Linked DNA regions of Drosophila melanogaster. The protein of the gene in region 1 interacts with the protein of each later gene in a pairwise test. Each region holds a gene or a part of one and is shown on either strand. Other genes may lie near its edges. The genes, in order: narya and Tango11.

Region 1 (15,135 bases):
GAGCTAGTGGGGTAATGTCCACATACCAATGTCAATCTCTTCAATGGTTGTCTCCGACTTAAGCGGCTTGTCGTACAGACGAATGTACACCTCGATGGCGCACTTGGCCGCCTTGAAATAGAATGGATGCTGGCGTAGCACGTCCTCCAATCGCAACAGGCCAACGTAGGCGCGCAGCGTCATTTTACGCATGCAATAGGTGTGGAAATCGAACTGGTCCTCGACGATTTCGGCAAAGTGGCGCTCCACCTCGTGGCACTTCTTCAACGACTCGCCCCAGCGACCCATGCGCTGATAGGCCAGGGCACACTCCGTCTGGAACCACATGCACTGCATCTCGTTCAAGTTGTCCATGGCGGAGACACCCTCGCGAGTGAACTTGGCGCAGATCTCCTCTGCCTCCTGCACCATGTTGGCGCGCAGCATGTACTTCGCGCACTTCGAATTGATGTAGCTGAGGGGAAAACATTGATGGTTACATGGTTCAGCAGGTCTATGCTAGTCCATGGGGCTCACTCACCGATCTGCCGTGTCCATGCTTTGGGCCTCCTCCAGCCAGACGTACGCCTCCACGGGATCGCCAGCATGCTTAAAGATGCGACCCTTGGTGATAAGCAGCTCAATGAGTGTTGGCGTATGGTCGATAGCCACATTGATGTACTCCAGAGCGCGGTCCGTATCGCGCATGTAGTCGTAGTGCTGCGCCAGAAACAGTGCCGTCCACACCAGCGCCGAGGCCGGCTCGACGGGAATTCCGGCGTCGGCATCTTCGCGAGAAAAGTGGCCGGAACGGGTAAGGTTCTCGAAATACTGCAGCGCCAGCTCCTCGATAACGGCCGCCCTCTCCGGTATCTGGTGCAGAGTGCGCACGTTGACAAATAGCGGCGGAATGCCCTTACGCAGACCGCGGCGCAGGTACTCGTCGGTCACGACGCGAAACTCGTCGCCGTTGGCGATGTTCAAAGGCAGGCGGCGAGGGCACAGGGCGCGCGGATACTGCTCCTGGAACACGCGATAGATCGACACCACGGCGCTTGAGTCGGTCACCTGGCGGGCGGCAATGTACTGCTCGTAGTAGAGCACATTCTCCGGATTGCGGCGGATCAGAGACTCAAAGATGGGCACTGCCTTCTCCTGCTGCTGCAGCTTGATGTACAGATCACCCATGGTCTCGCGAACGGCCAGCTTGTCGACGATCTGGCCCTGGTATTTGGTCAGGTGGTCCACGGCCTGCTGCAGACGATTCGACTCGATGAGTATCTGGTTCTGGTAGAGCAGCAGCTCCGAGTGCCGATAATCGTGCGCCTCCTGCCCACGGAGCAGAGACATGGAACAAGAAATACGAGCATTTTATTGAATTGGAATATAAAATTGAATCGGCAGGCAGCTGGATACATACAATCGACGTTTGCGACTGGCTGAACGTCTCCAGGATGCTGTTGGCCATGTCGTAGTCACCCAGCAGATGGTAGCTCATGGCGAAACCGATCCAGGAGGCGTGCTGCGAGGGACGCAGCGTGAACAGGTGGTGGCGCGTCTCCTTGTAGCCCTCGAGGTCGCGCATTTGGATCTGGAGAAGCGACAGGTCCTTCAGGATCTGCAGGTTATCCTTCTCCCACTTGAGCGCGTTGCGGTAGCACTTGATGGCCTCATCGTACTTCTTGTCGCTGCGCTGGAGCAGTCCGTAGACGTGCCAGCAAACGTGGGAGCGCAGGTCGTTTCGCAGACCCAGACGCACATACTTGTAGGCCTCCTCGCGGCGCCCCAGTCCGTTCAGAGTAAGCCCCTTCATGGCCAGCGTCTCGCCGTGCTCCATGTACTTGGGGTTGGACAGGATCTGCTTGGCCAGTTTAAGGCCATTTTTGTACTGCTTCAGTTCGTAGCATTTCTGTTTGATAAGAAAGCACAGAGAAGAAAGGTTTTAGTCAAAGTTTCTCGCATCCCGCGCAGCGCGAATTTTGAGGTTATGAGACCAGCGGGCCGACCACAAACGTCGGCGGTTGAGCAGAGCTGTGCAATCGCCCGCTGAAGCCACACATCTCGAGCAGCGGAGGCATCGCCTCCGGATTGCTTCTGCCAAAAATAGGCACTCTCCACCTGACTTCGGCTAAAAAGCACATGGATGCCGAAGCCGGCCAAAGGCACGAACAAAGGGAGGGGGCGGCACAGTTGTGGTATTAAGGGAAGGGGAAGGTATGGGACAGTAGGGTCACCTAGACCGGCTTACAAGTAGCTTGCGGAAGAGCGCGCCCTCCTTGGGCGGCAGGGGATCGCTAGAAGGCATCTCTGCAAGGCTGCGGCTGCTCCTCTCTTCGGCCTGCTGCTTCTTCTGCTTGGTCGTTCTTGTTCTTCCTCAGCTGCTGACTGGGACTGGGTTTTCGCCTGGCCGTGAATTGCACCGGACTGCGGGATCTGTGGATCAGCGAGCTGAGCTGAGTTGCGATGCCTCTTCTGCTGCTGCTCGGAAGCGGAGCTGGACTCGATTGGCAGTCTATACGGAGTAGACACACCACACACACAAGGCGAAAACGGCGAACGGCAAACTGCGGGCACGAGCAAATTTCTAAATCGACGTGAGACGACCACACACACCCACACTGGCAAGCTCGACTGTGCACATGCACGCACTGGCGCACGCACACTGGCACACGTGTTCACGCGCTTCGCGGCGAATGGTAACAGCAATTGTACGCCACTGCGAATGGGTGTGAACGCGCTCGTTTTGAATCGCGCTGCTAGGCGGTTATGTAAAGCGAGTGAATTGTTAATTAAAACTTATTCCGAGAGGTCGAAAGTCAGCCGGCTTTCCATGTTTTAACCTTATAGATTCCACACCGCATGCTTCGCCATCGTATTTTTCATTTAAATTACCCAGTTCTCGTATACGAAAATAATAGGCAATAAATTTGCAATTCACTGTATGGGCTCATCAGCTGTTGCCTATCGATAGTCCCGCGCGTTAATAACCGACACTATAGCGAACAAAGTAAAGAGGCAAAAAGAAGAAGAGCACCACCGAAAGCAACAACATGAATTCTCTGGCCAGGATCGGGGGTTTTGTGTGCCAGTCCGTGCAAATAGCCGGCTGCGGGGTAAGTTAACATCGTACTCCTAGCTAAGCGAACATAATATCCAGCCCATTGTCTTAACAGCTGCAGCAGGTGCGCACAAAGTATGCCGATTGGAAGATGATTCGCGACGTAAAGCGGCGCAAGTGCGTCAAGGAGAACGCCGTGGAGCGGCTGCGAGTCAACTCGCTGCGCAAGAACGACATCCTGCCGCCGGAGCTACGCGAGGTAGCCGACGCCGAGATCGCTGCTTTTCCTCGGGACTCATCGCTCGTCCGGGTGAGGGAACGCTGCGCGCTTACGTCACGTCCGCGCGGAGTTGTCCACAAGTACAGGCTCAGTCGAATCGTGTGGCGCCACCTCGCCGACTACAATAAGCTGTCCGGCGTCCAGCGCGCCATGTGGTAGCATCTTCTGTTAGCAATCTAGGGAAATAAACCTTGTTAGTAGTCATCCACATTCCAGAATTGTGTTATCGGCTTGGGTTCTTGCACAGCTGACCGTTTATCGGTAGCAGTGTTATCGTTTGCTGTGGGAAGAAGTAAATACAAATTTTAGGAACTATTTTGCTTCGGTGAAAATGTCTCGGATAAAGAAGAAGGCAGATGAACATGCCTCCAGCCGCCGCAGGACTCAGATCAATCTGATCGAGTTCAGTTTCTTGGATCACAAGGCGGAGCTCGTGGGCCTGCTGCAGGCCAAGAGCCGCCAGGTAGGCAGGAGTCTGGTGGAGAACGAGGCTGACTTCTGGAAGTTCGTGGGCAAGTACGAGGCTATGATGCGCTCCACGGGCCAGCCCGTGCTGCCGCCTCGACTCGCGGAGGCGGAGCTGAGCAGCATGCAGCCGTATCACCGCAGCAAGCACTTGGCATTGCGGCTGGACGCTGACGAACTGCTTCAGGAGGCGCGCGACCAAATGCAGTCCCAGTTTCGTCATATCTTGCTGGTGTACTTAGACTTCCGCCAGACGGAAAAGTTCCAGCGTATCCGAAAGCTGCGGCAGACACAACGCAATCTACCCATTGCTCGCTTCCGGAAGGACTTGCGCGAGGCACTGGACACGTCCCGCGTGGTCATCGTGGCCGGTGACACTGGCTGCGGCAAGTCCACACAGGTGCCCCAGTATCTCTATGACTTTGGCTACCGCAGCATTGGTGAGTATGCGGCTTCCCATTGAGGCTGCCTTACCAATGATCGACCTTTTGTTGCCCTAGCTTGCACCCAGCCGCGCCGTTTGGCCTGCGTCTCCCTGTGCAAGCGCGTTGCGCACGAGCTGCTGGACGACTACGGCAGTCGGGTGGCATTCCAGATCCGATTCGAGCGCAGTCGGACGAAGCTCACCAACATCCTTTTCATTACGGAGGGCTTGTTGCTGCGGCAACTAGCGGTGGCCGCCAACCTAGACCAGTACGATGCCCTGATTTTGGACGAAATCCACGAGCGCAACTTATTCGGTGACTTTCTACTGGGTGTTACCAAGTGCTTACTGAGGGCGCGGCCGCAACTGAAGCTGATACTCATGTCTGCCACCATCAACGTGGAGCTCTTCCACGGCTACTTCGGCGAGGAGGGCGCACGGCTGGTCCAGGTGCCGGGACGTTTATTTCCCATCAAACTGCGCTATCTGCCGCCTCCTGCACTGGAACTAAAGGCGGGACAGGCGACATCCAAACGCTCTCAGAGAAACCGCATCGATCCAGCTCCATTTGTCCAGGTGCTTAGCCTTATTGACCAGCAGTATCCGAGTGAGTTTAGTTATCATGTTCTTGTAGGGATCGCCTAATAATCATCTTACCTAGCCAGCGAGCGCGGTGACGTCCTTATCTTCGTTAGCGGCGTAAACGAAATCGAATCTGTTGTGGAGGCCGTTCACGAGTATGCCACCGAACAGACTCATTGGCTCGTCCTGCCGCTGCACAGTGGCCAGGCGATCGCGGACCAGAGCAAGGTGTTTGACTACGCACCCGAGGGCATGCGCAAGTGCATTGTGTCCACCAACATAGCCGAAACGTCGCTCACCGTGGACGGCGTGCGGTTCGTGGTCGACTCTGGCAAGGTCAAGGAGATGAACTTCGACGCAACCTGCAAGGGCCAGCGTCTGAAAGAGTTCTGGGTGTCCAAGTCGTCTGCGGATCAGCGCAAGGGTCGTGCTGGTCGCACGGGACCAGGTGTAAGCTAGAACCTAACCCACGGTTGCTCCATTTCTCATACATTCCCACTTTCCGAGCGCAGGTCTGTTTTCGGCTCTACACTGCGGAGCAATACAACGCCTTCGAGGCATATCCCACTCCGGAAATTTACCGCGTGCCGCTCGACACGATGCTGCTGCAGATGGTGTCCATGGGATTGCCCGACGTCCGGGCCTTTCCATTCATAGAGGCCCCGGAAACGGAGCGCATCGAGCAGACTATTCTGGCGCTAAAGCAACACGTGAGCATTTCACCGATACCCAACTGTGTAGACCCCAATTCAACCGGACTTCTAATCTCTAATTGCAGTGCGCCCTCAGCGTGGAGGAAAAGATCACACCGCTGGGCAGATCGCTGGCCAACTTGCCCGTAGAGCTGTCCATCGGCAAGATGCTGCTTATGGGCAGCGTGTTTCCCGAGGTGGAGCAGCTGCTGACCCTGGCCGCCATGCTGAGCGTGCAGAACCCGCTGACGAATCGTGCCCACACAGACCAGCGCTGCGTGCGCGAGCGGGAGTCTCTGGAGTCCGATCATGGCGACCTCTTCACCCTGGTGCGACTCTACAACGTGTGGGTGCAGCTGAAGATGCGGCGCGATGGCACTCGACAGTGGTGCCGTCGCTTGGGCATCGAGGAGCAGCGCTTCTATGAGGTGACCAAGCTGCGTCAACAGTTCCAGCGCATCCTCGAGAGCTGCGGCATGGTGGTGGCCAGCGATTCGGACTCCCAGTTGACCAGTGCCGAGCGCGCAACGCGACATGGTGAGCTGCGCCAGCTGAAAGCCATGAAGCGCCGCCAGCGATTTGAGCAACCCCGTCAGCGCAAGTTGCTCAAGCAGAGCGCTGGACGGGTAGCGGAGGACGAGGAGGAGCAGGAGGAGGCGCAGGGCGACGATATGAGGGACGTGGACTTCCGGCTGCGGTTCGATCCTCGACAGTTGGCGCTGCTGGAGCGTTCGTCGCGGCTCGACCGACACAGCGTCGTTGTGCTGCTAAAGCTGCTGCTCGGCAGCGGTTTCTATCCACAGCTGGCCATCAGCGACGAGTTCAACTACTGCAAGGGTGGTGGTCAGCAGTTCTTCCACACGCGGCTCAAGCCCTTCGTGCTGCAGCACCCAAACTCGCAATTCGCCAAGCACTTCGAGCTGCTTAAGCTGACCGAAAGCGATCTGCTGCCCAAGCCAGACTTCTACACGCCCAAGCTTCCGCTCAGCAAGCGCCACCAGTTGCTCTGTTACCAGTGAGTGCGTGCGTCTGTACGAAATTGCAGCGCCATACTAATCCCCAAAAAACTACGTACTACAACAGGTCGCTGCTGGAGACCGCCAAGCCCTATCTGATTAACTGCATCCGCCTGCCGGCTGCCCAGACGCTATTGCTCTTCAGCTTCGCCATTGACACGAACGCGGGCATCACACAGATCGCCTGCGACGGCTGGCTGGGACTGGATCTGCCCATGCCCGGCAGCGGTATGGAGCTTTTAAGACGGGCCATCGAGTTGCGCCGACGTTGGAGCAGACTGCTTTACGACAAGCTGGATGGTGAGTGCTCCCCAGATTGGTTGGAATTATTAAAACTACTAGGGGGATTTTTGAGTTTTGTAAGCTAAAGTAGATTGTTATATTTCCGTTTATGGTTATCATATCCCGCACATGAGTAGTGGAACGTCTCGATTTGAATAGTAATAGTAATAGAATACGGATGATAATTAGTACCTTAAGCGCAACTTAATAATCTATCTGGTTCTTTATATTGGGAATCTTCTGGAAGGTCAAAACCTAATTGAATCGTTAGAAGTGGTTATAGTCTTAGAATTCCTATAAAAAATTATACAAGTAATTGGAGTGACTAAAGACGAAAGCCTTTAGTGTCGCTGCCAAAAGATCTTCTCCGCGTTGACTGGGTATCCAAGTCCGCGGACCGGCGGGAGCTATCAGAAGGCATATCCGACGGCGATTTGTCCGAAGTGCTGATAGAGGTGTTCCAGGCCTCCTTGAACTCCGGCGTATGGAATCTCTCACCTGCACTGTGCCGGCGCCTCGTCATCCTCTGCGCATTCTCGTGGTAAGCGATGTAGGTGCGCAATTCAGCGATTCGCTTCTTTTCCTCCACGACCTTCTGGTTCAGCTGCGCCTCCATCTTGCAAAAGCCCTCCAGCTGGCGCTTGTTTTGCTCCAGCTGCTGCAACTGACGGTAGAAACCCAGGTTGTCCGATGCTCGCTGGTCCGCTTGGAACTTGGAGATCTTGCGGTAGATCTGCTGGAATCGCAGGGGATCCGCGAAGTAGTTGGCCACGCTAGTTGGCATATCCCGGTTGATCTGGATCGCTTTGAGCACCTGGCCGCATAGCGGGCAGTTCTTTTCTAGCGAGGATTGGCCCAAACAGGGGCCGCAGATCACGTGCCGGCACTGGGTCAAGTGGAAGGGCACGGCTGGATCAGTTTTGCGATGACGGAAACACTTGTTGCAATGCACTCGAAACATAGTGACCAATATATGTTTTTTTCCTCGCCTTGCAAGTTTTCTTCTTAAACAATTGTGATTTAGATATCCGAATGGGGCTAACGGATCTTACCTCAGCGGTCTGGCCACTCTGCCGGGTGAGAACACTCTCGCCTTGCAATCTGTTCACCACACCTTTCCTGCAAGTGGTGTATTCAGGTTCAAAGATTTTTCACCATAATATTTTAAAGCAGTTATTATTGTAACAATCAAATGATGGGAACGACATATGCTTAAAAACGTTTTTTTTTTTAGGTATTTACATATACAATTGTCGATATTTGAACTGTTCAGTTATAGAAAATGCTTGTTGTTCTTGGCATTCTTAGTAAATGGAGCTTAGTTATCTAATACGTATGTACTTAATGCTGTCCAATTTGCAGACCTCAAAAGCAAACAGGAATCACCTTCCCATTCAAGTGACGATAGGAGCAGCGCGCTGTGGCAAGATCTTGTGGACTATATGGCGCTGGATGTGGCGTATGCGATACGCCGACTGCTTCCCGCCGACATCAAGAGGCTCTACACTCATCAGGCACCTTCCGCGCGACTCGCGGAGCTCAAGGAGAACCCCTTTGCCGTCGACTTTCCCATGACACCGAACGAGGAAAAGGGCGGCCTCAACGTATCGGAGCACGTGGTGTACAGCTGCTTGGCCGAACAGCAGTGGACGACGGCCATGGATGCGACTCTACGGGCAGAGCCATGGCAGTGTACGCGCTGCGATTTCGAGCTGGAGGAGTTCGATGTGCTGGAGCAGCTGGTGCACCGATCCAAATGCAAGCGTCGCAAGGCGCAGGAAAGCCGCACGGCGAAAACAACGAGCACAGAGTCCTCAACGGAGGTAGCCAGTAGCTCCAGTTCGCACTCCTCCGGCGGCTATTACTGCAACTCCTGCAAGAGGGAGTTGCGACTGACAACGATCGACATTCTGCGCCACAAAAAGCAGTGTCGAAATAACAAGTAATCGTCTGAATAAACGTATTTAATTATAAAAAAAAAAACATATTTAATTTAACATATTGAAAAATTGCTAAACAAATTAACTTTTGGCCTGTCCCCTTTGGAAATCAACAAAAATGTTATGAAAAACATTTGCTTTCTTTAATTGAGGGACCCTTCAGCCATGTTACAATGAAAAAAAAAAAACGCACTGAAAAATGTTGGGCGGAAATCTGTATTCGGATTTCCCACCAAAAATATTTCGTTTTTGGGCCAAAACAATGGAATTTTTAATTAAAATCAATTATGCCCCGTTCAATTGGCATTGAAGCCGCCGGGAAATTTCCATTTTAATCAAATTGTTGAAAGAATGAATTTATAGAATAAATTATCGGATACGAAATATGGGATTTGATAACTACGTATGCCTGTTAGTTAGCCAGCTACACAATAGGTCGTCGTTGCTCAAGCTGCGCTGCTTATTTTAACTGAATATTGCAATATGTAAAATTGTCAAGTGTCCAGCTTTCAATTTGCCACTGACAACAGAGCTGGGTGAATTCCTCACAAGGATTTAGTTTTTATCTCGCACAATTTTGTAGCTTACAAAATAGTTTTTAGCTTAGGATGATGACAAAAAGGGATTTAGAGATTTGTATTGGATCTGCACCTTAATGCGGCGCTCCTTTCGACCGTGCTGTGTTGTCCTAATCTCGGGACACAGAAGCTACGCTTGTTTATGAAAAGGTCTTTGCCTGTCAAGCTGTCCAATTTTCAGATATAGTTGTGCGCTTCCTCGGCAGGGCAGCAGCTCCTTCTGCCTCGCCCGACTGTCTACTTCTTTGCAACTACATTGTTGCTACTGTCGAGTTTTGTGCTCAGCTTGCTTGTCCGCTTTTTCGCAAGAAAAAAAGTAGGATGGACGGCGTGTGTCCCGACTGCGGGATACCCATTGCTAACATGTTACAAATTGTATTGTGTACGTATGTAAATGGGCCAAGCACTAAGCACAAACAATCCAATGCGAAAATCTACTAAAATGTGTTGCGTTTTTTTTTGTTTCTTTTTCAATAAATATCTAGTTATGTTTTATGGGATACCCTCGGCTGATTCGTTACATAATGCATTGCCTACTTAAGTGGGACAACGCAAGCAATCAAATGCTTTGAAATGCGTTGTGATTTTCAAATAAATATCCATTAAATGCCTCGGAAAACAGTAGACAATGCTCTAGTTGGCGTGGTGTCCCAGAAGTCCTCGTTCACTTGGCGAAGGATACTTGCTTGTTCCGGAGACCTAGATTTTCCGTGTAACATGGCTACAGCGACATTCCCGTTAATGCTGGTCAATTATATACATTCGTGCTGCACATTTCAGCTGAAAAACAGCATGCTCTTTGCCGATACAAGTAAATGGAAGAATAAAAAACTTTTCGGCAACATTTTGTGATGTCTTACAAAAAAGTGTTGCATGCTTTCGGGCGTGTGCAGCATGCTGTCCTTTTACACACAAACTCGCACTAAGATCCGGATCTTACAGGCGAAGACCTTAAGAAGAATTTCGGGGGCTCCTTGGTATATGAGAACAAGAGACATCGAACGCGACCTCAAGGTGCCCAAATTAGGAGACAAGCTCCAGAACATCGCCCAAAAATATATGGAAAGGCTTAATGTACACCCCAACAGCCTAGCAAGGAAGCTAGGAACTGCAGCTGTGGTCAATGCTGACCCTCGGACTAGAGCCAAAAGAAGACTCAAGCGACACCACCCTCATGACCTCCCTAACCTGGTTTTGACCTAGAAAGTCTTAGTTTTAAAATTCATTAGAATAATCAAATAAATAATAATTACTATGTTATATCAACTATTATAATTCTCCCTAACATTTTTAGGATTAAAAATCTGTTAGTCTTAAGTAACCAAGACACATTGTAAAATAAAATAATTTAAGCAGATCAAATTAAGTTGCCGCATGGGTAACAGTGCGTTGATCAAATAATAAAAACATCATCGTAAAAAAAAACACACAAACTCGCACACACAGACACTGGCTTGTTTAAAAGTTGATTTCAATATAAGTTTTATGTTGCGTAATATTGAAAAAAAAAGGGCGACAGCACCCTGGCGGGCATTAACTTTTTAAATTTTCTATCATGAATCGAAGTGCTTCGATTAGGCGAACAGCTGTCGACATTTGTACACTGCAGAAAATAGTTGTTTGGTTGTTGTGGCTAAAAAGGAAGTCCCAGTTCGAGTAAATAACAAACACCTGGTTGGTTGGATTCCTTTTATTCATAGTTTATTTTAATATTTTATATGTTAGGCAAATTATGCAAAATTATAAAAAAAAACGTATATATAAGAACCCTTCTATCAATTACAGTTAGATTACAATTTATAATTATAATTGTTTTGATTTTGAGCTAATTTGAACAAATTGTTCGCAACGTTACAATATTTTTTTTTTTTTTTTGCTGTATTTATATTTGTTTCTGTTTCTGGTTTTTCAAAATGCCTGCATATAAGAGCTTTGAATTTCTGAGATATTTATTACAATCATGTTGCGTTTGTCCAAATTCGAAAGCAAACTCTACAAATAATTACTTTGTAAATACACACAAAAAAAAAAATAAAAAACGAGCACGATAAAAAATGTAAGGTAACTTATGATTTACGTAATACTTTTGCTTATTTAAAACCAAGTATGGGTCGGATGTTTACACTCGTAGTTTCGTTGATTCGCCTAGTAAATCCGCATCAAGTAACGATTTTCTAGGGGCAAGGTTGGGGCTGTACTTTACACGTCTCTATATATATATATATATATATGTATACCTATTGAAAGCACTGGCTCTTAACTCTCGGATCTTTTTCAGGCCTGCCCTTTTTTAATTTTTATTTAGAGTGTCGTTCTCTATTTCCACCTGCTCCTCCCTTCCCCACAAGCTCAAAAATAAATTAGTTTGGCAGAGCCTGAGAGTGCATTTTTATTAAATAAAAACGCATCTGCATGGAGATCGCCAGTGCGCTGCAGGAAACTAATTGTATATAGTGTAAAATTGTTATAAATAATGATAAGAAAATGCAGAGTGATTGGGGGAAATATCGTACAGCATGGCAAAGAATGGTCTGGACTGGACTCAACTAGTAGCTAGCTAGTAGCTGGCATTCAATGTTACCCATTGGACTCAACGACACTTTGTGGGTATATTCGTACTGATGTATTGCGAATGATTGCTGCTGATTTGGATGCTTAGTTTGGCTAATAAACGAGTCGGCTGAGGGTAATTTGAGGGAGTGTTTTTTTTGTTTTTTTGCCTATAAATCTTCGTTTCTTCTCAGCGGTAATGGGAGATTGGGTGTATATTTAGTCCTAGAATGTCATACGTGAGTCCATGTACATACAATTTATTTAATATATCTTTATAACTAGTACAATCGTAATTATAGCTGCGCGTCCTCCTCTAGACTATATGTATACATAGAAGTTTCAATTCATTGTTTTAATTGCGAAATGCAAACTCTTTATCCTACCGCTAAACGCACTTAACAAACTTACCCGCTATAAATATACTTTCATGTAGTTTAATTCCCGAATCGCGTGGTGGCTTTCGTAAACTAAAAAAAAAAAATTAAGGATGCAAGTGGTTGCTTACGCTAATATAAGTATATATCATTAATATATATATATATGCATATATATATATATATTTATATATATGTATCTATGTACTATATATGTATGTAGCCTAATGCGATTAACTGTATGCCTTTACATGTACAATTTTAAAAAATTTGGAAAAAAAGTGAGTGTTTTATTCCTCTTCATTGCGCTTGAATAAACTGTCGTTGATTTGAAAGTTCTTTATGTATACTTGTTCATAATAGGATACTTGTTCTTCTAGGGTTCATATAAGTTTAAAATTCTGTGTGTGTGTGTATGTATGCGTTGGTGTATATATATATATATATATGTCTCTCTATATACGAATAATGCATTTTGTACCGAACTAGCTATAGTCTACACAAAAAAAGGTGGTTTTAAAATTGGGTTTTACGTATATCCGCCTATACGAATTTGGGATTTGATGCTCCTAAAAGCGACTTTATCGCCCTATACGGATTTGTATGTCTGTCTATTTGTTTTTTTTTTTTTTTTCTTTTTTCATCCAACTCGCCGAAGATTACATATTTCCCGTCGCATTTTCCAGACCAGAAGAAGAACTGGTGTGTTGCATGTTCATCGATTTAATTACTAAAACCTACATCAGTCGTTTGGCACACAAGTCACGCAGTGGCGTGAACCACGGAACAGAATCCTTCCGCCGGCTATTTTTACAAGCCGCAACAGGGGATGTGTTGACGTTCATGTTGATGTTGATGTTGATGTTGTATTCTGTTGTCGACTGGGGGGCTGCATCCCACATCCCATACGCGCAATAAAGTTATCAGCATCAGCTTCAGCCCGCCATGGATTCCCCATTCCTCATCATCCAACTGGATCCGCATCTGCTGCTGCTCGCTGTCGGCAACGACATCACAATGCATCCCATCCCATCATATTCTATTCCATTCCATTCCATCGCATGCATTGCATCGCTACATTGCATCACATCGCCAGCTGCCGGCGATGGCGGAGATCGCCGTGGGTGCCAAACTAGACCTCGGTGCCATCCTCGCCCTCGTCGTCGAAGAGCTGGCTGGTGCTGCCCTGGCCGCTGCGCGTCGTCGTCACGGACATCTTCTTCTTGGGCTTCGGTGGTGGGCGTGGTGGGATCTTGGCGGCCTTCGGAGAGTCACCGCTGCTGCTGGCGTGGCTTGGCGATACGGCGGCACCCGAGCCGGGTGAAAGGTAGGCGGCGTGGCCCAGTCCGGCACCGCTAATGCTCGAGCCGGGCAGTATCGTGATCCCCTGTTGCCGAACTCCGTACAGGGGTTCCGTGTCCATGGAGCCCAGTCGCTGCTGCTGCTGCTGTTGTTGTTGTTGCAACTGCTGTTGCTGCTGAATCAGCTCGTGTATGGGCTCGTAAATCTTACTGGCATTGGTCGCCGAGGACACCGATGTCAGGCTGGGCGTGGCCGGAAGTGGTCGGTCCCGCATCGAGTACTGCTGACCAGCGCCCCCCTGTGAGCCGGCGATCTTGGTCAGATTGAGGGTGGAGTTGCCGCCGGCAGTGGTTCGCAATCCCAAGTTGTCGTACACTGGCTCCGCCTGCAGTTCCGCGGTGGTGGCGGTGCCAGTCTCGCTGGGATTCGGCGATGTGGGGCTCTGGAATTCACTTAGCTGAATGGATCCGTGGCCAGCGGCACCGGAAGTACTGGGCGCCCAGCTGGGAGCGCGCGGCTTGCGCGGAATGGTCATATATCCCTGTTTCATGACCACACCCGTGGCCGGCGAATAGACGACGGGTGCGGGCAGGAAGGGCGATGTGGTGGCCAGCGGATGTTGCTGCTGCTGCTGCTGTTGTTGTTGCTGCTGGTGGTGGTGGTGGTGCTGCTGCTGCTGCTGCAGCTGATGGTGGTGCTGGTGCTGGCGACTGCTGTTGGTGGTGGCAATGAGCGCCAGGTTGCGCGACTTGGGATGCTGCAGCGTCATAAAGCCGTTATGCGGAGCCGTCATCGTCTTGGTGCCGTAGATGCCGTGCGGCGTCATATGCGTGTAGACCGGACTGGTTAGCGACGGTGGCGAACGGATGCCGTAGATCACCTGGTCGGGTATGTTCGACTGCGACGATTGCATCGAGGGCGAGGTGGGCGGCACGCGAGCGGGAAAGGCCAGCAGATCCGGTGGCAAGCTATTGGCATACGCATCATCCACGTAGGTGTGTCGAGATCGGGGCGTGGTCGTCGTATCCGACATGGCCACTGAGACGGCTTCTTCGTCGCGCGAGTGATTGGCCACTGGAATGGAGAAGAAGATGTTGGAGCATATTACTAAATGTCTGCATGGCTGACTATTCCATTAACGAGAGTTAAGATCTGTATTAAGTCCTACTCGACTTCTATTGGTCACCAACTTAATCCCACTCCTCTATGGAGCTCCTGTTGAATAAGGCACATTTCACTATGCAATTACATTTCGATCGAATATACATAATCCCAGGAGCTGTGTTGCGTGAACAGAAAAGGCGGGATTAATTCTGTTTGATTTTTCTACTACGCTTTGACGTATTCGAGGGATTTTCAGTAGTTATGTGCCGCACCAAAGCCCTCTGTGGCTTTTAATCCGGCATCCGCGTCCGTTGCAAATAGTTTTGATAGCCATTTCTTTTGAAAAATAATGATTCTTGGGTAATCCCCTCGCCCGTGGAAGCGGAGCACATGAGCACACTTGGCACATGTCACTGCTCGTTTGGCCAATCCGGACGAGAAACTTTGGGCATAAGTGACACACGAGTGCTGTTCACCCCAGTTCAGCTCATTCCAGTCCTGCCCCT
Region 2 (17,282 bases), on another chromosome or scaffold:
CACAACCGAGCGTTAAAAAACCCATTCGATACACTTAAATTATTGACCTAGGACCAGCTACCCTAATAACTGTCCTGTGCTCCCCATTCCGCCCCCCCCCCCCCCTGGTGTCCAGCCACAAATCTTCCATCTCTATACGTAAATAGAATTTATCAAATTTAATTTCACGCTTCATGCGCTCATTTCTATATAAGTTTGGGTGTCGTGTCCTATCCGCAAAAAAAAAAAATGGCGAAGGAGCCCGAGGAGCGGAGGAAAAAGGCCAATGAATGTCAAAAATTGTGACCGTAAATGACGGGCCGCAGCCATTGGGGCAATGAGCTCTATAAATCTGGCAAGAGATAACCGGAAAAATGCTAACGAGCCGAATGGCCAGAAAGCTAGAAAACGCTCACTATCTGGGTAAAAAATAGAAACCGGAAAAGAAAAAAAACCATTTATATATATATGAAAATGATGAGGGACACTTAAAGTTATGAAATTGTAAATTTCGGTTCAGTTTGGTTTAGTTTCGCGTAGCCAAGAAAAAGAACAAATATTTGGACTCCCAAACACATACCATATCACTTTCCCTTGTCACAGGACTTGGGGCTTGGGTTTGGGGCTCCTGGGATCCTGCATGTTTTTGCATAGAAAAGCGGGAAGCTGGAGCATACGCACCCAAAAATTTCCATGTCAAGTGTTGTTCGAAAGTTGTTTTCAGCTTGACTTGGTTTCCTTACAGCATTCGCCTCCATAAATGTAATCAAAAATGTATTCAAATTGTTTTTATGGTGGCCGTGTTCAAACTTTCTGACGTTTCGCACATAAATTTTTGATATATGTGTCATGCACGGTGATATGGTGTGGAAAATTACTTTGGATTTTAATGAGTTGTCTGCTGATTTCGGTTAAGATGTGTGGCTGTTGCTTCTGTTTGGTTATCCAGCTACAGCTCGAGAACTTGAGATTCAGCATTTTCCATTACCTTCTTTGTGGTTCAAAGCGTTTTGGTGCTTTACTCAGAGCTCTAAAAATAATATTTGTGTGTGTGCTCCAAAAGTCTAAAATCACTGCTGACATCTTCTGAAAGCGTATGCAAAGATTTGTTCACGCTCGCAATGGCATATATTAGTCAGAAAAGTATTATTTTTCTTTCTTCCCTTCAATCTCCTCTTAACATGTTGGAGCACACAATTAACGGATTAAGCCCTTAACTAAATCCTCGTTCCGTACTAAGCACTTCCTGAACCTTTTGAGTACCGAAACGGAACCATTATACCCAAGAGCAAAACACCTTTGTCATAAACATTTCCTAATCAGCCCACAAAAGTTGACCCTTCACATGCATACAAAATCGGGTAAGTGGTGTACTCCAGCTTTAGCCGCAATCCTGCGCTCCTTGCTCCTTGGAAACTACAAATTTTCCAAGAGTTTGCACTAAAAAGCAATTAAAATTTTACACGACCATTTGCGCAAGACAATTATGAGGACCACATGGCCAACCAGGCCCCAAGAACCCACCATCCACGAAAGGAGCCCCAACGCCACCAACATCTAGACCAAGTCTAGAACGTCAACATTATGCCAAGACAATAAAACGACAGCGAGCGCCGCCAGGGAAAGCGAGAGATTTGTTGGCCAAATGCCACACACTCCACCAGAAGATGAAGATGGGAATGGAGATGGGGATGAAGTTGGCTATAACGAAGGAGCGACCGCCCGTTGCTCAACTGGCAGTCATACATACCTACGAGGCATAGCACCAAACAATTTCCACACATTTACGACACTGTCCAGGTACGGAAACAAATTTTTAAAGCGCCCAACGCAACTGAAGGACCGAAAAAAAAACGGCCAAAATGGCCAAGAAAAAGCGACCATTGCAAATTGAATTGTAACCAAAGTAGAGTCACCACCGAGCAGCATGAAGGCTAAAAAAACGGGGGATTAAAACTCGAGGGGCACTATGCTATGGCTAACCAAGGGCTGCTCGAAGTGCACTGGAAGAAAAATCGTATCCAATATATGATTGCTTGTTTTATTTAACAACATATTGCAGGGACGATTACAAGTTATATATGATAAGAATTTTACTTTAGATTCAAAAGGAATGTCAGAAGGAATCGTGATAGATAATGATAAAATGTGGAAACTCTATACATTTCCCTCTCGAATTTTGTTGCAGTGCAGCGTGTTTTGGTTGCAAGCCCATTAGTTGGCAGCAAGTTATGACTCTATTAAAAAAACGACGCCTTGCTGCACTTGCCACCGTCGCGGAAGTTTGGACACTCTCTCGCCTGATCCCCAAATGGGCGTGGCAGGGCGGGTTGTGGCTCCCTGCCATTTGTTTGGCCATTCGCGGACTTCAATAAACATTGGCAACATGGCAATCGTACGCGTAAGCTGGGTCTTTGATTGCAACCCAACTCATAATTGTAGGATATTGGGTGGGTCGCCCTGAGGGCCAAATGAAAATTCAGCAAATGTTTTAATTGCAGTCTGCCAAGGGAGCTGATTGAATTTGCATTTCAGCTGCGACTCGAGCTTCATAAATTGCAGTTGTCGTCTGCTGGAGAAGCCGAACCGCATGCCATTAGCTTCGATTCCATGAGCATTGAGCAGCATTCACCGCAAGCCAATAATCTAATTTTCGGCCATGCTAAAAGCCTACTATCCCTAAAACCCAAAGCTTAAATTGTTTTTTTCGAGGCAATAAAAGTTAACCTGTACCGCATAGGGCATAGGGCTCCAAAACTTGGCTAAAGAAACTCAACTCAACGAAAAGCCGAATAAAATACCAGAACGAGGGGAAAGCTTGTGGTTGCACGCCTGATGCAATTTACGGCGCTTTGTTAAACGCTTCAACGTGAAACCGAATGCCCAGGAACTTGCCCCGTGCTTCGTCCTGCGTCCTGCCAGATAGCCGGAGTAGAGCGAGAGGCATCCGCACAAGGACTGGACGGTCTAAAGTAAAGGATATACAAGTTAAAGGCAACATCCGTTGTGGGCCAGCCTGGCTGTGGCCATAAACAAACTCAACGCTCCGCACTGACCGTTCCCGGCCAGCTATAAAACAATTTCGCATATGGCTCCCCGAGCCCGGGACTCGGAGTTTTTCTCTTGCCTTTTGGATTTTGCACTGGAAAAAATTATAACTATTTTATTAACTCTATCATCTTAGATGGAAATGAACCCCCCAAAAGTGAGACGTTAGCAACCAATGCGAGTTCAGAACCTTATTATTCTTCCAGTGCATGTGTACCAAGTAGGAGTCCTTGCCAAAGTTTGTGGCTATGTCCAGGACCCCCCGGTCGCCACCCCATCCTCGCCTGGCATGCACCAACACCTGGTAAGCGCCTTTGTTGTGCTCCGATGGCTCCGTTGGCCAAGTGTTGCATACTTTTTTCGGTTGCGACTCCTTTTGCAGGCAGCATTTTTGCGGCTCTATGGGCAGCTAGCTTGTTTTTCTTCGAATATTTTTTTCGTACATTTTAGCTGCTACGCTGCCCCGGGCCGATATTCAACACTTTTTGGCTAGTGGGAAAATATTATGCTAAACTAAGGCATAGTTTGCAAGCCGAGATATTGTTGCATTCTGTGGGCTTTGGTGTTTGCGGCCATGTTCCTGCCTTAAATTCGATCCCACCAATTGTGGCAGGAGCCGGTGGTGAGATGCAATAGTTTTTCTAATTAAAAACACAATAAAGCCTTCGGACCGCGGCGGTCTTGGCCATTGTGAAGAGCTCCAGGCGCTAAAACCGCTGCTCCACATCCACATTGCTTCTGCTGCTCCTGCCGTCGTGCTGTCCTGGCTGGCTGCTCGTTGCCCACACAATGGCCATTATGACATCGTTATGTGGCATCAACTTTTTGCCTCATTAAAAAGGTAAGTTGGCTCAAAGGCTTCTTAATGCCCGCCTCCACTGTTCCTGTTGTTAAAGTCATCTGGTCTTAATTAAAGCCCGGATTAGATATGGCAATGTCATAATTGAAACGCTAACCCACTAAGCCTTGACTTTTGCCCCGCTTTAATTTCAATTTCTGCTCTCGAAACCCTTTTACCTCGAATCCTTTCAGCCGCAGGACCTCGAATCAAGAGGTTCCTTGGGTCAATCGGCTTTCGCCTTTCAGGCTTTTATTTTTTCTGTGCGTCGCAGTTTGCAGATTGAACTTAATGTCTGGTCAATGCCAATATTGATTTAAAAACTGCATTGGCATGGCTTTAATTGATGTTTGTATATGCTTAAGTACTTTAAAGTAATAAATTAAATATGAACTGTTACATTTTACCCCACTTTTGAGATCATGCACCTCTCTAGTTTCACAATTTTTCCACTACCCCCGCTGCTTTAAGCCAAATGCACTCATTGATTTTGCGGCATCTTTTCAAGGTCCTCGCTGCATTAAGAATCATATATCACAAGTCAATTTCCTGGCCACATAAATCACCGGGGATAGTGGACCGCACCATATACCATTTGTCTGGGCCATGTAGTCCATGTATCGCTGCATCCGCATATCTTCCATCCGCTTGACAATTATAAATTGTAACCTTGCCTCGCTCCGTGTGACATAATCGCGTTCGAATCCAATTTGGCCACGTGTAAGTGCAAGGGCAGGAGCGATTAATATTTTGTCTGGCGATGATGAATGGTCCGGAGCAACTGCAGTGCGCCACTGATTGAGTTATTGGCAGCAGAAGGGACGGGGCGGAAGGTCGGATGCAAATGCGATAGCAACACATACTACATGGCCGCAGACTTGTACCCAGTGCCTGGCCAACCATACATATGTACATATATGTATGGAGGGGGATCATCCAGCTACAGCAGCTCCACCTTCCGGATTCTCACAGCTTCTACGGCGACTCAACTCAACTCTGTGCTCCAGCTGCATCGACAACAGGCTTTCGGTCAAGTTTATTGTGTTAGCATTAAACAAGGCCAAAACCAGGGGAGCGAGGGGCGGGATTTGCATCACTTATCCGGGCAACGAGCCGTGCATGGTGATGCACTGAAAGAAATCTTAGAAGGCATATCAAAAATAATCCTTCACTTTAGAGTATTTTCATTCACCTTCATACTTTACGAATAAGTATCTAGATTAGATCTATTTAATTTAAATCTATCTTCCATATCTACCAATATGATATACTAGTATTTCTCTGAGTGCACCTCGGAGCTCAGAGACAGCAGTGGAGGCCTATTGTTTGGCCAGTCTTGGCCATGTTCGTTAAGTGGGTGCAGCAGGCGAAGGACTCGCAGGACTCGTAGCACAGTAATTACAAGCAGACGCAGGCCCATCTTCCAATCGTGGTTTCCCCCAGCAGGATCTGTCTGTGGCAAGGACATGGTTAGTACTATCCTGTCCTGCGCTGTCCGTCGGAGGAGTAAATAAAACTGTGCAGACAATTAAGTTTGTTTTGCCTGGGCATATTCTTTTCACCACCCATCCCATTTTTTTTTTCGGGCTCACGTTTATGGCCAAGTCGAGCAGGTAATGGCTGTCCGTTTTTCGTCCTGCTTCGTCCTGGCCAAGAAATTGCACTAATTGTTGTTGCCGGACCTCCAGCAATTGGCTTTTCGTCGAGAAGGAGATACAAACTTAATTTGCAGCCGAATTCGATTTTTGCTTGTGGCCTGTTGATTAAAATTCGTTTTGGAACTTCATTTAGATAGCAGATGATGCCTGTGGTTGATCATTATTTTCCCTGTGGACTGGTTTAAGTAGATTGATTCGACTGATTAAAAACATTCAACTTAACAAAAAAGAAATATACTAATCTTTTGCCACATCTTAAATTCCGTTTTCATTTTCATTCTGATTTCGGCCTTTTTTCTAATTCAATCTCTCCATCGACTTCAATTGATGGCTAATAAATTGCTTGTCACCTGTCCGATGGCTTTATTCGCAATTTTGTCAACTAAGTCGTCAGTTTGGCGATTGTCCTTGATGACCTGCTCAACACGATTTGGCTTACTCCCAACGAGTTTTCTTCCTCTGTCGAATGAATTTCCCCATTCATTCCCGCCATTTTTGGCTGTCACTTTCTTATTTACATTCAATTGGCATCCTTCGATTGAAGGACGTGAGTCTCGGCGTGCTGCCACTATCTCCCCATTTTATATTTCATTGTTATATCCCTTAGTCGAGAGACTCAAAGTTGCCTAGTTCCCCTAAATCGTGGTCTCCTACGGCCGAATGTCCCTCATTCTTCTGAGTGAAGGGTATCTGATAGTCGAGGGACAAGACTATAGTGTCCTTTCTTCCTTTTTCCTTCTCTCATTTCTTTTTCGATTTAATAAAATGATAAAGTGAAACAGAAAGCAGTCAATGCAGTTAGCAAAAGCAACGAAATTATTAGGTTCACTGAGCTTTTTCAGCTGGATTTCAAATTTTATTTAAATTAAAACGATTTTTTCAAATCGTTAATTTTTTTATTTAACAATAAAAATGGTTGCGATATAGAATTTTGAAAAAGCAAAACAGTTCGTGTTCGAATTTTACAGTAATTCCATTTCTTTTAAAACAGTAACGACTTTGTATTAGTATATGATTTTTAAATAACCATAAATTTTAAGATTATTCTTAACGTATGAAAATTGAACAGTGCACATGATTTCCTCAAGCCAATTGTTAGCCAATTTCGCACTTTGAGCCGACTTTCTGCCCCATGGCCTCTTTCACTTCCGGTGGCACACACTTCTTATCATTCGGCTAGTTGATTATTTCCGCTTTCCACTGTTTTCACTTCTCAATGTCAACTTGTTTTTGGGTCCTTTGTTCCATTGTATTTGTGATTATTTCGCCTGGCACTTTTTCTTGCCGCTTTCGCTTTTATTTTGTGTTAATTACCAATTTAAATGCAAACTTTGGACTGATGAAGATGGATGTGACACTGGCGAACAAAAGGATGGGCATTACGCGTGCCAGTCTTATTTTCCCAGTGTCCCTCTTTGTTGGTCCAACGAACTTGTCAAGAGGCTTTTTCAAGGTCCCTGCCCAAGTTGTCCTGAAAGGTCCTGGTCAGTGATACTTGGCTCAGTCTTTGAATTAATTATGAGCCTGTGGGTCAGATAGAAATTCCAAGAAATATAGGGTTTCCAAGAAGGTTTCTAATTCCAATTCACTGCAATTTGAAAGAAATGTTTTCGGAATTTAAAGATAACAATTATATTACATATAAAGAGCATTTGCCTGAGAGGCCTGCAGTTGAGTGCCTGCAGAAAATTGATTTAAATTGCCGCTAAAAGTTGCTTTCGATTTTCAAGCAATTACTTTCTGGCCATCAATCAATCACGACTTTTGCCCGCAGTGAGCACTTACACTGCACTACATAAACAACGACTGACTGGCACACATAAATAACCCCATTACAAACCTAATTACAATCAATAACAATTTTATTGCTTGGCCAACGACAAAAGCGAAAATGTCAGAACTGAAATTGTGTGGCAGCGATATCGATCTTACTTGTTGACATGGGCCAATTACAAACCAACAAAATGCACTGAACTGCAGCCAGCAGCCAAGAAAATTTATAGAAAACTAGATAATTGAATGGCAAAGGGGGCAAAACCGCCCACGCCAAACAAAAACGAACAGCAAACTGGTTGACAAACAAACTCCATCGACCTGACTGCAGACGCCCACTGCCAAGTTAGTTGCACTATTAAAAGTGGAATTTATATGGAGACGCCTCGACTACAGGAGCAGTCAGTTCCTTCTTCCTTCTCTGACCCCGCCAAGGTGTTACCTGATCCCAGAGTATCTTGTCCATCTGGCTGGGTGTTGCCCACACTTTGCTCTGTAATTAATTATTTGATAAAAGTACAAGCATTAAGTCAATTAAAACTAAATTTATGCCAAACGTTATCTGATTCTGACAAAAGGCGTGATTTATGCTACAGCCAAGTTTTCATTTAGTTTTTATTTTATTTTACCGCGGAAACTAGTTTTTCTGGCTAATACTTCTTACCTATTTTCCATTCAAAATGTTGCTAGCTTTTTCTTAATAACGAATATAAAATAATAGCAATAATAGCACAGCTAAATATTATAGGTATGATATTTTTCATGTTAACTGAATTAGTAGTAGTTTTCATAAATAGTTTTTAATATTTTAATACAAATTTTACACATATTTTCTTTTCTTCAAAATCATTTCTACTATATTATTTTGTACAATTACCGCCTGGTTGGATTAATTTATTTATGCACATTGCCCACAAAGCCGAAAAAACCTGGGCAATCAATCAAAAATTTAAGCCAAATGCCAGGATCCGCCAATTTAAACGCTCATTAAAGGACGAAGGACGAAATGCGGTGGGTGGAGTTGTGAAAATGGCCAAAATGGGCAAAATGTCCGAAATGGGAACTGCGACAAGCGCACAATTTGCTAATGTTGACGCCATTATTGTATAATTTTCGTCAAGTGGGCGGGGCAGTCGGCGGCGGTCGGTCATTTGTATAGCAAACCGCAAATGTCGACGTCGAGGTTTTCCTAGCCGCTTTCCATGATTTTTTCACCCGCCATTTGCTTTCTTTTCTGACAGTTTCCGCGTCATTTTTCTATGGCATTGTGCACTGAAATAAATTTGTAATATAACATAATCACACATACTGTTGTGCATAAATTTTAATATATTATTAGAGATAATAAACTTCAATTATAATTTATTTGTTTTTAAAACAAACAATTCTATAATAAATATACTATGTTTTTTCCAGTGTATTGCGAGCAGGTCTTTTGGAGGTGCAAGCCCAGACTTCGTCATTATTTTGGCATTATGTGTGTGGGGTGGCAAATGGAATGGCGAAACGGATGAGGTCCACCAAGTTTCGGTGGCTCGCAAACATTCGTAAATGTCATTAACAGTTGTAAAGGCTGCGTGCCACGCCCACAGCCAAGAACTTTATGCGCTCCGTCCGGAAAAGCGGAACAGCGGTAGGTGGTGGGTGTTCGCTGGATGGAGCGGGTATTTTTACACAAAATTACTTCTTTTATTCGCTGACTGACATTCATCATCATCATCATCATCATCGGCCGCAGTTTGCTGGCCGCTCATAATTTGTATTTTGATTCAACTTGAAATCCACTTGGAGTGACCTTAAAGTCTGGCAAGTGCTAAGTGAAAATCGATTTATGGAGCTTATCAGGAATCAACTAACTGACTTGATGGAAACATACATAATAAACAGCTGTCCTTGTGCGTTTCTTCATAGCATAGAAACTATGTTTTTTTTTTATTTCATATTTAAATGTAAAAAGTACTATCTATATGCATACCACATAGATTACAAGTATTGATTATATAAGATGTCTAGATCTTAAGCGCATAAGTTCGTACAGCTAGATGGGTTTTTTAACTATAATTATGTGTGTGAAAATTCATTTTGTTTAATGTGCGTGTGTCGGCGAGTGTAAAATCAAATTTTGTTACTAAAAGTAATGGGCTGAAGGGGGGGGGGGGGCTGTATTGGTGGTCTAGAACAATATGAATTATGAATACGTATTATATATACAAATTCGAAACATAAAATAAAAACAAACTGAAATCAAAATAAAAATAAGAATGGCCACAGAAAATAGAAGGGTCAACTCCCGGCTTAGTAGACCCTGGGCAGGATGTAGCTGCGCACCTGGGTGCTGTAGCGCTGCCAGGAGGAGTGATAGCGCGCCTGATTCCGGGCGTTCGCTCGGGTGGCGCGATGGAGCAGGAGCAGGATGATCAGACTAAGACCCAGAACTGGTGGCCAGGCCGGACGCAGGGCCATGGGAGCAGCCAGGGCCAGCAGGGCCACGATGTCGCCTAGATAGTTGGGCTGGCGTACCCATCCCCACATTCCGCTGAGCAGCAGACGGCTTCCCTGATACGTGTGAATAGTTTCGATGTTGGCGAAGATCGGACTTTGCGAGTTCAATCGGTATTTGTACTTGTAGGCGCAACTGAATCGCTTGACCAGCAATCCCAGAGACAGCAGAGCAGCCACTGCCAGCGGAGCATACCAGCAGGAGATGGGTACACGCTGCTCGTAGAAATACTTGGTGACCGCCGTCAGCAGATATGGAGTGGCTGCGTAGCGCAGGAGCAGCAAACAGCCGTAGCCTTCGTGTTGCAGCTCAAAGGATGAGCTCAAGTGGTGCTCGAAAATAATGGCGTCCAATACGTAGAACAGCAAGCAGCTGGCCGAGAACAGGGTGGCAGGATCATAATTTACATTGTTCCAGTAGTATTTGGCCTGGTAGAGATAGCCCTCCTGTTCACCCAGCTGCGGCTTCTGGGGCCACACGAGCGTCTGGTAGATGTAGCAGGTGGCATAGATCAAGGTGGTCACCAGGGAGAGACGGTACTGAAACTGTTTCCAATCCACGCGTCCTAGCCACTTGGGATTGAGCTGTCTGCCCAGCGCGAAGTCCACCACAAAGCTGCCAGTCCTGCCATAATCATTGGTCAGCGTTTGGCGCAGCACATTGTACTTGGCGGTGTCCACCAGCCAGTAGCTCCAAGCAGCTGCCACAAAGGCGCCAACGAGTCCAAAGATGCAGAAACGCAGATAGTGACGCAGAACGAAGGTGACCACTGGATACTTCAGATACTCGGCCACTCCACTGGCAATCAAAAGCGTAAGCGAAACTGCTAGACAATTAAACTTGTAGGTCTCGCGGGTGAGATGAACCCTTCGTCCTGGTAGCAGTGCCACCAGCAGAAATACCACCACCTGATAGGCGGCAAAGGCACCCACCACTCGTGGCTGGAACACCTGGCGCGTTAGGTAGTTAACATCCAGTAGTATACCCAGATTGAGGTGCTTAAACTGACAGGCGTTTCTGGCCGTACAGCTCCATGTCAAATAGTAGACGGCGGTGGGCAGAAGTAGCAGGAACAGGAAGGCGCCTAGCCAACCGCCAAATTCTCTAGGAGCCTTCAACTGACGGCAGGATATTTCCGCCGGTGTGGCCGATTTACGGGTTACATTGAAACTACGGAACTGATCCTCCTCCAATTCATCCTCCTCATCAATATCCTCTTCACCCGTAGAGTAACTACGCTTGGAGGACTTCTCATCGTCGTAGACGGATCGGGACACACTCCTACTATAACGACTGCCCTCTTCGGTGTTTGTCACTGGTGTTCCAGCTAGATTTGAGATTGTCTTCGACACCGATCTGCGCAGTCGTTCGGTTATGCGTTTGCGAATGGAATCCGTGTCCACCTCGCCGTCTCCCTCGGCACGGATCTCGATGCGCTCCGTGGTTGTGGTGGTGCTGCTGGTAGTGGTACGGCTGAAGCTGTTGCCGCTGTTCACGGAGCTTGTGTTAAATGCTTTGTTCGGTGCGCCGCTGGATGTGTTGGTGGTCAATGTCATGGGCAGATTGCTGGTTGACAAACGAATAGGCGATGATACCTGTAATTTAAGATCATAAGTAAAGATGTAATAAGTGATAAAACAAAGTCAGAAACTATATAACCTTAGAAGAATATACAAAGGGACATGATTGTACAAAAATATGTGGGTACTCAAAACTGGGTTAAAGGTGTTTTGAGTACACTTATCAGATTCCCCTCTATTTTTGTAATCAGCAGTTTAGCTCAACAATTACAAATCCGTTATCTTAGCCCGGAATTTCCTTATGGTAGCATATGAGGGCAGAACTCTAAGCTGATAAGCAGGGCGGTGGGTGCTGCTTATCAGCTTCATAAAACACACAGAAACAGAAGCTCGAAATTTGTAATAAAGGTAGGACAGTTACAGTTAATTATGTAGTTTAATTGGTTGTAACGATCGAAATTAAATAGAACTAATATTTCGCTATGCTTTTATATTGAAAGCAATTGATTTCAAAATTCTAAACTGCTGATGGTTGGAATACTGATCAAATATAGCTAAGCACTTATCCACCGGCCAGCAAAACTGGTTTGTGCTGGAGAACTCACCTCGGAAACCTCTGGGATGGGTGTGCGTGCCTTGATGGCGGCCTTGATGGGCAGCGAGGAACCAGATCCCGATCCGGTCAGCGGACCCACCGACGACCTCGGCCGGCTGGAGCGACGGGTGCGCGGGCCAAGATCGGGCGAGGGCGGTGCGACGACCTTGTTGCGTGACGGGGAGGCACGTGTCCGGGTGGCGGGACCAGCGGTGGCGGTGGCGGTGGCGGTGGCACCCGCAGCTGTCACGGAGCCCGTACGTCGGGTCACCGGCAGGAGGCTGGGCTGCTTGGACTGGGCCAGAAGTGGACCGCTGGACACGTCTTCCGTGCGACGCGGGCGTCTCAGGCGTCGATCCATGGTGTATGAATTGCGGTCGAAAAAACGTGCTGCAAAATGGATATGATCAGTCGTTGTGCTCGGCGAGTGCTGCATGTTATTTATAGTTTACAAAATACACACAATCTATTAATGTACTTAAGTAACGCTGTGGTTTTCTCTAGTTTCTTTGCTTTCTTTATTTCTCTAATTTTCTGTATTTATTTGTGTTTGCGCGCCGAAAGGAAAAGCGACGTCGCTGCCGCAACTGTACATTCCGCAGGCAGCGACGCTGGCAGAACGCGCTCTCTCTCTTGCTCTCTTCCTCTTGGCTGGCAGTTTTTAAACGATGTTTAACTTAGCTTAAACAGCTTTTAACGCTTCACAACTTAGTAACTCACTTCTGATGGGATTTATTTGTAGTTTTTCACTTTATGGGGCTATTGAAACGCCGTAAATTCAGCATAAATCACTTGATAAAAAAGACGCGCGTCTAGTTGTCGGCGGATGAGAAAATTTTGTTGTAAAATGAGCGCGGCCCACTGCGTTGGTATTTTTCAGTGTTGGCTAACGCCGAACGGCGCCTAACAGCACGCAGCGTGTCGTTAACAGTGGTTTAGTGGGCACTTTAAGACAATTTAAAATGTATTCAAGGTTAATTATTTTAAAGTATTAAAAGTACTTGTACTTATTTTTACATTCCCTTAAACATTAATCGAACCATACCAATGCGCAAGTATTATAAATCGATAGAAAACTTTTTGGAGTATTTGATCTTTGCAAAGACTAACAGTACTCATTTTATTTACATATGTAGGTTATAAAGACCAAAGTTGTCGCTTAAATCGAGTTGTAAATTATTTGTTCAAGACAGAAGAATACCGCAAACTTTTCAAGAAACAAAAACATATTAATAAAATGAATCAAAACAACTGAAATAACTTCTTAAATACCTAGTTTTCTACTGATATTGAGGTAGATAATTAATTTGGCTAAAAAGGAGCTAGAGTGCCGGATCTGTAGAGTGGAAGTAGAGTGACTGTCATTCCTGGTATTATTTAGCACATTCTATATCAATCTCCTCACACACATAACAAAAGGCAGGAGAAAAATTGTAAATTATTACGGATTTCTCGGACATTTTTCTGTCATTTCCCGAGCAATGTAAGTAGAAAGCATTCGAAAAACCCAATACGCAACAAACACACGCACACAAGCCGGACGAAAATGTTGCGCTTGCCAAATTCTGGTTATTAATTTGTTATGAAAACGTCTCTCTCACGGCCGCCTTCTACCTAAAAAAAAAAAATTGGACAAACAACGAAAAACCAAAAGCAAGTGAGGCCCATTGGATCAGTTGAAAGGATTCCCCAGGACATCGCCATGGTGACCCCGCAATCGCCGACGCCCATGTTCAATGGATTGGACGATGATCTCTACAGCGACGCCAAATATGCCCACGAGATTAACGACAAGATGCGGGTTCCCAAAAGAATAAAGGCCACCGGGGAGTATTCCAACGAGGATCTGCTGCTGTCCAACCAGAACGGGATGATCAGCTCCTGGAACTATCACGACAAGATCGACATGAATGTACCGGATCGAATTGTGGTCCTGGGCCACAATCAGCATCTGGAGACGCGATCTGCTCCGCGGGAAATCCAGCTGGAGAACTCCATTCTGCCCAAGAACCCATCGGTCGGATTGGTGCGCGTCCAGACGCCACCGCGCATTATCACCCTCACCGATCAACACTTTCCCTCGGCCTCCGAGGAGAGCTCGCCCATCCGGGCCAATGGTCATCATTTGTATGGTAATGATCTCGACGAGGACGCCGACGATGAGGAGGTCCATGCCACCCAATATGTGCGTGCCAATGGAGTCGCCCGTATGGGATTTCAAGGCAATGACACCAATTCCGTTGAATCGGACTCGCAGGTGAGTAAAATATGCCATACAAGCAACAATTTTCCTTTAGTTTTTCAATTCAATTGCAAGTGCTTGTAAATTAAATCGATGGGCAGAATGAGCAACTCTGTGATTTCTGTTAAAGAGCACTTCATTTGATGGAAGTCTAGACCCTAGCGATCCACACATGACGCAATAAAACAACCAAAATTGTTAATAGATAATAGATAGATAGCGATCACACTGCGCTTGCCACCCATTCAGTTTGCAAAGAGATTACCATGCCTGCTGGTTTTTATTGAATTCCTAATACGGCTTTGATAAGACGGCTGACCCAATTTCCATCGACTGTGTGGAAACACACTCTCACTTTTTGTTAATCGCTGGAGTAGCCGTGTGCCTCCGGTCGATCCTCGCCCTCCTGTGTATCCTTAAGGCGCCTCGCAAAAGGACGACACTTCCAGATGTCCACCTCGGTGGCCAGGCACTTGCGAAAATCGAAATCGCACAGACCCAAACTGTACGAACCCTCCATGGGCTCGAAGTAGTGAAGGCCACGGCCAATCTTAATGACCACTCCCGAGCTAAGAACGATCTTGCGATCGTGCAAACTGTCGTCCATCTGGAAATTCATCTGGATGTTGCCACCGGCCAGATCGCTCTGCATTTGCTGCAGCATCTGCAACTGATTCTTGGGCGCCGTCGCATCTGGGCGCGTAGTGAGGCGAATATACTTTAGATAGCGACAGTTCTTGACCAGCACCTCGAAAAAGTTAAGCAAATTCCTAAAGTGTGGTGGCTCCGTGAGGTGTGGCTCGTTGAGATGGGCCTCCCGAACCGCATCGTCCAAATACGGACCAAACAGCCGCTGGTAGCTTCTGCCCCTGGCACCCTGCTCGATGGTGATGTGATCCAGCATACGGCTGGTGTGCAAGTGACCCTTGACCTGATCCCTCAGCTGTTTGGCCCGCGCCTCGTACATCTTCAAATACTTCCCACACAGCTGGCGGCGACTCGGCTCCGCATCGGCCATCTGGGACAATTTGAAGATGCTCTCCTCGTAGAGTAGTATCGCCTCCATAATGTGACCCGTCTGCTCGCATTTCAGCGCGCTGATTATCGCCTCCAGTTTCGGCAGCTCGCCATCATCCACTTCTGCTACGTTGGGACTGGTTGTCATTGCTGGGATCGAAAGAAATTGGTTGGCTATACAGAAAATTTCGAGTTGGGCGTTTTTTTTTTTTTCGAATGTTTATTGCTTATATTGACACCGGAAATATTTGGGGGAGCTCTGAAAAATGACTCTTGCTTCACATTGATAACAGAAAACTTTCACAAAGCAAACACTTAACATGGTACACACATCTAAATCCTATTTGGCGCAACTTATCTTTGACTACCTTATGTGTTCCAGTTGACCACAGGCAGTGCCAGCAAGCGCTCGCAGCTGAATCAACAGCAGCACAACAACCTGGATGCCTCAATGCTGGCGCACCGAGAGGGCACGCCCATGGGCGAGCTGACGCCCCACGAGGAGATCCTGTATCTGAGACGCCAGCTGGCCAAGCTGAATCGCCGGGTGCTGAACATCGAGATCAACAATGAACAGCGCACGCAGCGGGAGAAGATCGTCTACTGTCTGGGCCTGGCCTACTTCGTTCTCAAGACAATATTCTGGCTGAATCGCAACTAGACGCAATGTAGAGCCCACTATGATGGTTAGCGATCTGCGCTGGGTGCCAAGACAACCACCTTGCTATGGACACCCTTTTTGGAACAGCTTCTTTCGTTTCTTGACTTTTGTGTTTCTTTTGTGGAAAGGCTCTGAGAGAGACTTTGTTTTTTGTTTGCCATAATTTTGTAGACTAAGCTCCGTAATAAATAAGCGCAACATCGTTCTGTTTTGTACACCGTGGAAAACGAAAAAAACAAAGGCCCCCATACTTAATTTGTAAGATCTGGCACTTAAGGAGCGTGTATCTAAATCTAAGCTTTAATCTCTACGTGTTTCATCTGAGCAGCCCCCAACACGAATCCGAATCATCACAGCAGCATTGCATTGAAAAGATATTGTTTAAAAGGGTTGTTTATATTTTAGATCTGTTAACATTTGATAATCCCAAAGTGAAAACAAGAACTTTAATGGTATTTGTATGCGAAATCCCATACGATAAATAGTTAAATATATACATAAATATAATATTATACACTAAATCCCACAGAAATCATTGCATTGATTTTTGCATAACTAGCGGAAACGAAGGAAATCCATTTAGAGTGTAGCATGAATTCATAACGATATTTAAAATAAAACGTTTAAAGTACCAAAACAAACCATATGCTTCGTTAATTTTCTACCAGGAAATAAGTAGATTTCGGTTTTCAACGCATTTAAAAAATGTATTTATTTTAATTTGTTGGTTTTCTCTTTAAATAGTACGTATAGTAATCAATTAAAACTACCGATTAAATGCAATTACATCTGCTTGTCTCATCTAACTTCCGACTTCCTCTTCTGCTATACATCTTTAGCTAACAAGACGTTAAACATTAAGTTTAATGCAAAATGACGAAAAGACCTGAGCGAAATTTCGTTCGATTCATTTGCGGTGTGTGTATTGTTTTTCGTGTATTTTGTCTGTGAAGTGGATTGTTTCTTTCCCTTTTGCCACCCGATCTTCGATCAATCGCTATCATCCAACTACTTAGAGAACAAGATGCAATTGTTTGTATCTTTTTATTTATAATGGAATTATCGTTTACTTTACACAAATAATATGCAAGGGGACTACTTTTCTCTTTCATTTTCCGAACGACTCGCCTTTCCAGGCGAAACGCCGCAGGATCGAAAAAAAAAACACCTCAACGCACATCCTGCTAATCTTATTTCTTCTCCTTTCCTGCCGGTTGTCCTCTTCTTTGTATATGGGCATTATAAAATAAACGACTACTATAAACTTAAAAACTCGTGTGTATAAATACAATTTTCCTTATTATCGCGTATTTTTGTTCTCTCGCGTATGTGATTGTGGATACAATGTTCAACAGATCTCGTTGTTCAAGTTGTCGATGAGATATGATCGGGCTTGGCGGCTTTGTATTCTATTAAGGGGGACTGTGGTTGCTGATGTTTGGATGTGGTGT

The links.
Region 2: the proteins of narya (region 1) and Tango11 interact in a two-hybrid assay, tested with the Drosophila melanogaster proteins (one large-scale study listed by BioGRID).

Annotation. Positions count from the first base shown.
Region 1 is NC_004354.4:19,467,771-19,482,905, reverse strand, and holds narya (narya), read right to left. Parts: upstream 7,844-15,135; 5' UTR 7,740-7,843; coding exon 7,104-7,739; 3' UTR 6,851-7,103; downstream 1-6,850. Other genes in the region: Naa15-16 (N(alpha)-acetyltransferase 15/16), read right to left, coding at 27-454, 521-1,308, 1,400-1,888, 2,228-2,284; mRpS14 (mitochondrial ribosomal protein S14), read left to right, coding at 3,030-3,092, 3,153-3,476; CG32533 (uncharacterized protein), read left to right, coding at 3,649-4,222, 4,283-4,813, 4,868-5,238, 5,301-5,498, 5,567-6,495, 6,564-6,796, 8,141-8,724; kek5 (kekkon 5), read right to left, coding at 13,356-14,599. UniProt on the Drosophila melanogaster protein: Required for the formation of DNA double-strand breaks (DSBs) together with nenya and vilya during the meiotic recombination process. Plays a role in DSBs processing into crossovers.
Region 2 is NT_033778.4:21,715,967-21,733,248, reverse strand, and holds Tango11 (transport and golgi organization 11), read left to right. Parts: upstream 1-13,285; 5' UTR 13,286-13,394; intron 13,395-13,403; exon of another isoform or gene 13,404-13,565; 5' UTR 13,566-13,613; coding exon 13,614-14,168; intron 14,169-14,416; exon of another isoform or gene 14,417-14,514; coding exon of another isoform or gene 14,515-15,318; exon of another isoform or gene 15,319-15,490; coding exon of another isoform or gene 15,491-15,493; intron 15,494-15,552; coding exon 15,553-15,831; 3' UTR 15,832-16,469; downstream 16,470-17,282. Other genes in the region: LBR (lamin B receptor), read right to left, coding at 9,592-11,391, 11,922-12,347; CG30398 (uncharacterized protein), read right to left, coding at 14,515-15,318. UniProt on the Drosophila melanogaster protein: May play a role in mitochondrial and peroxisomal fission.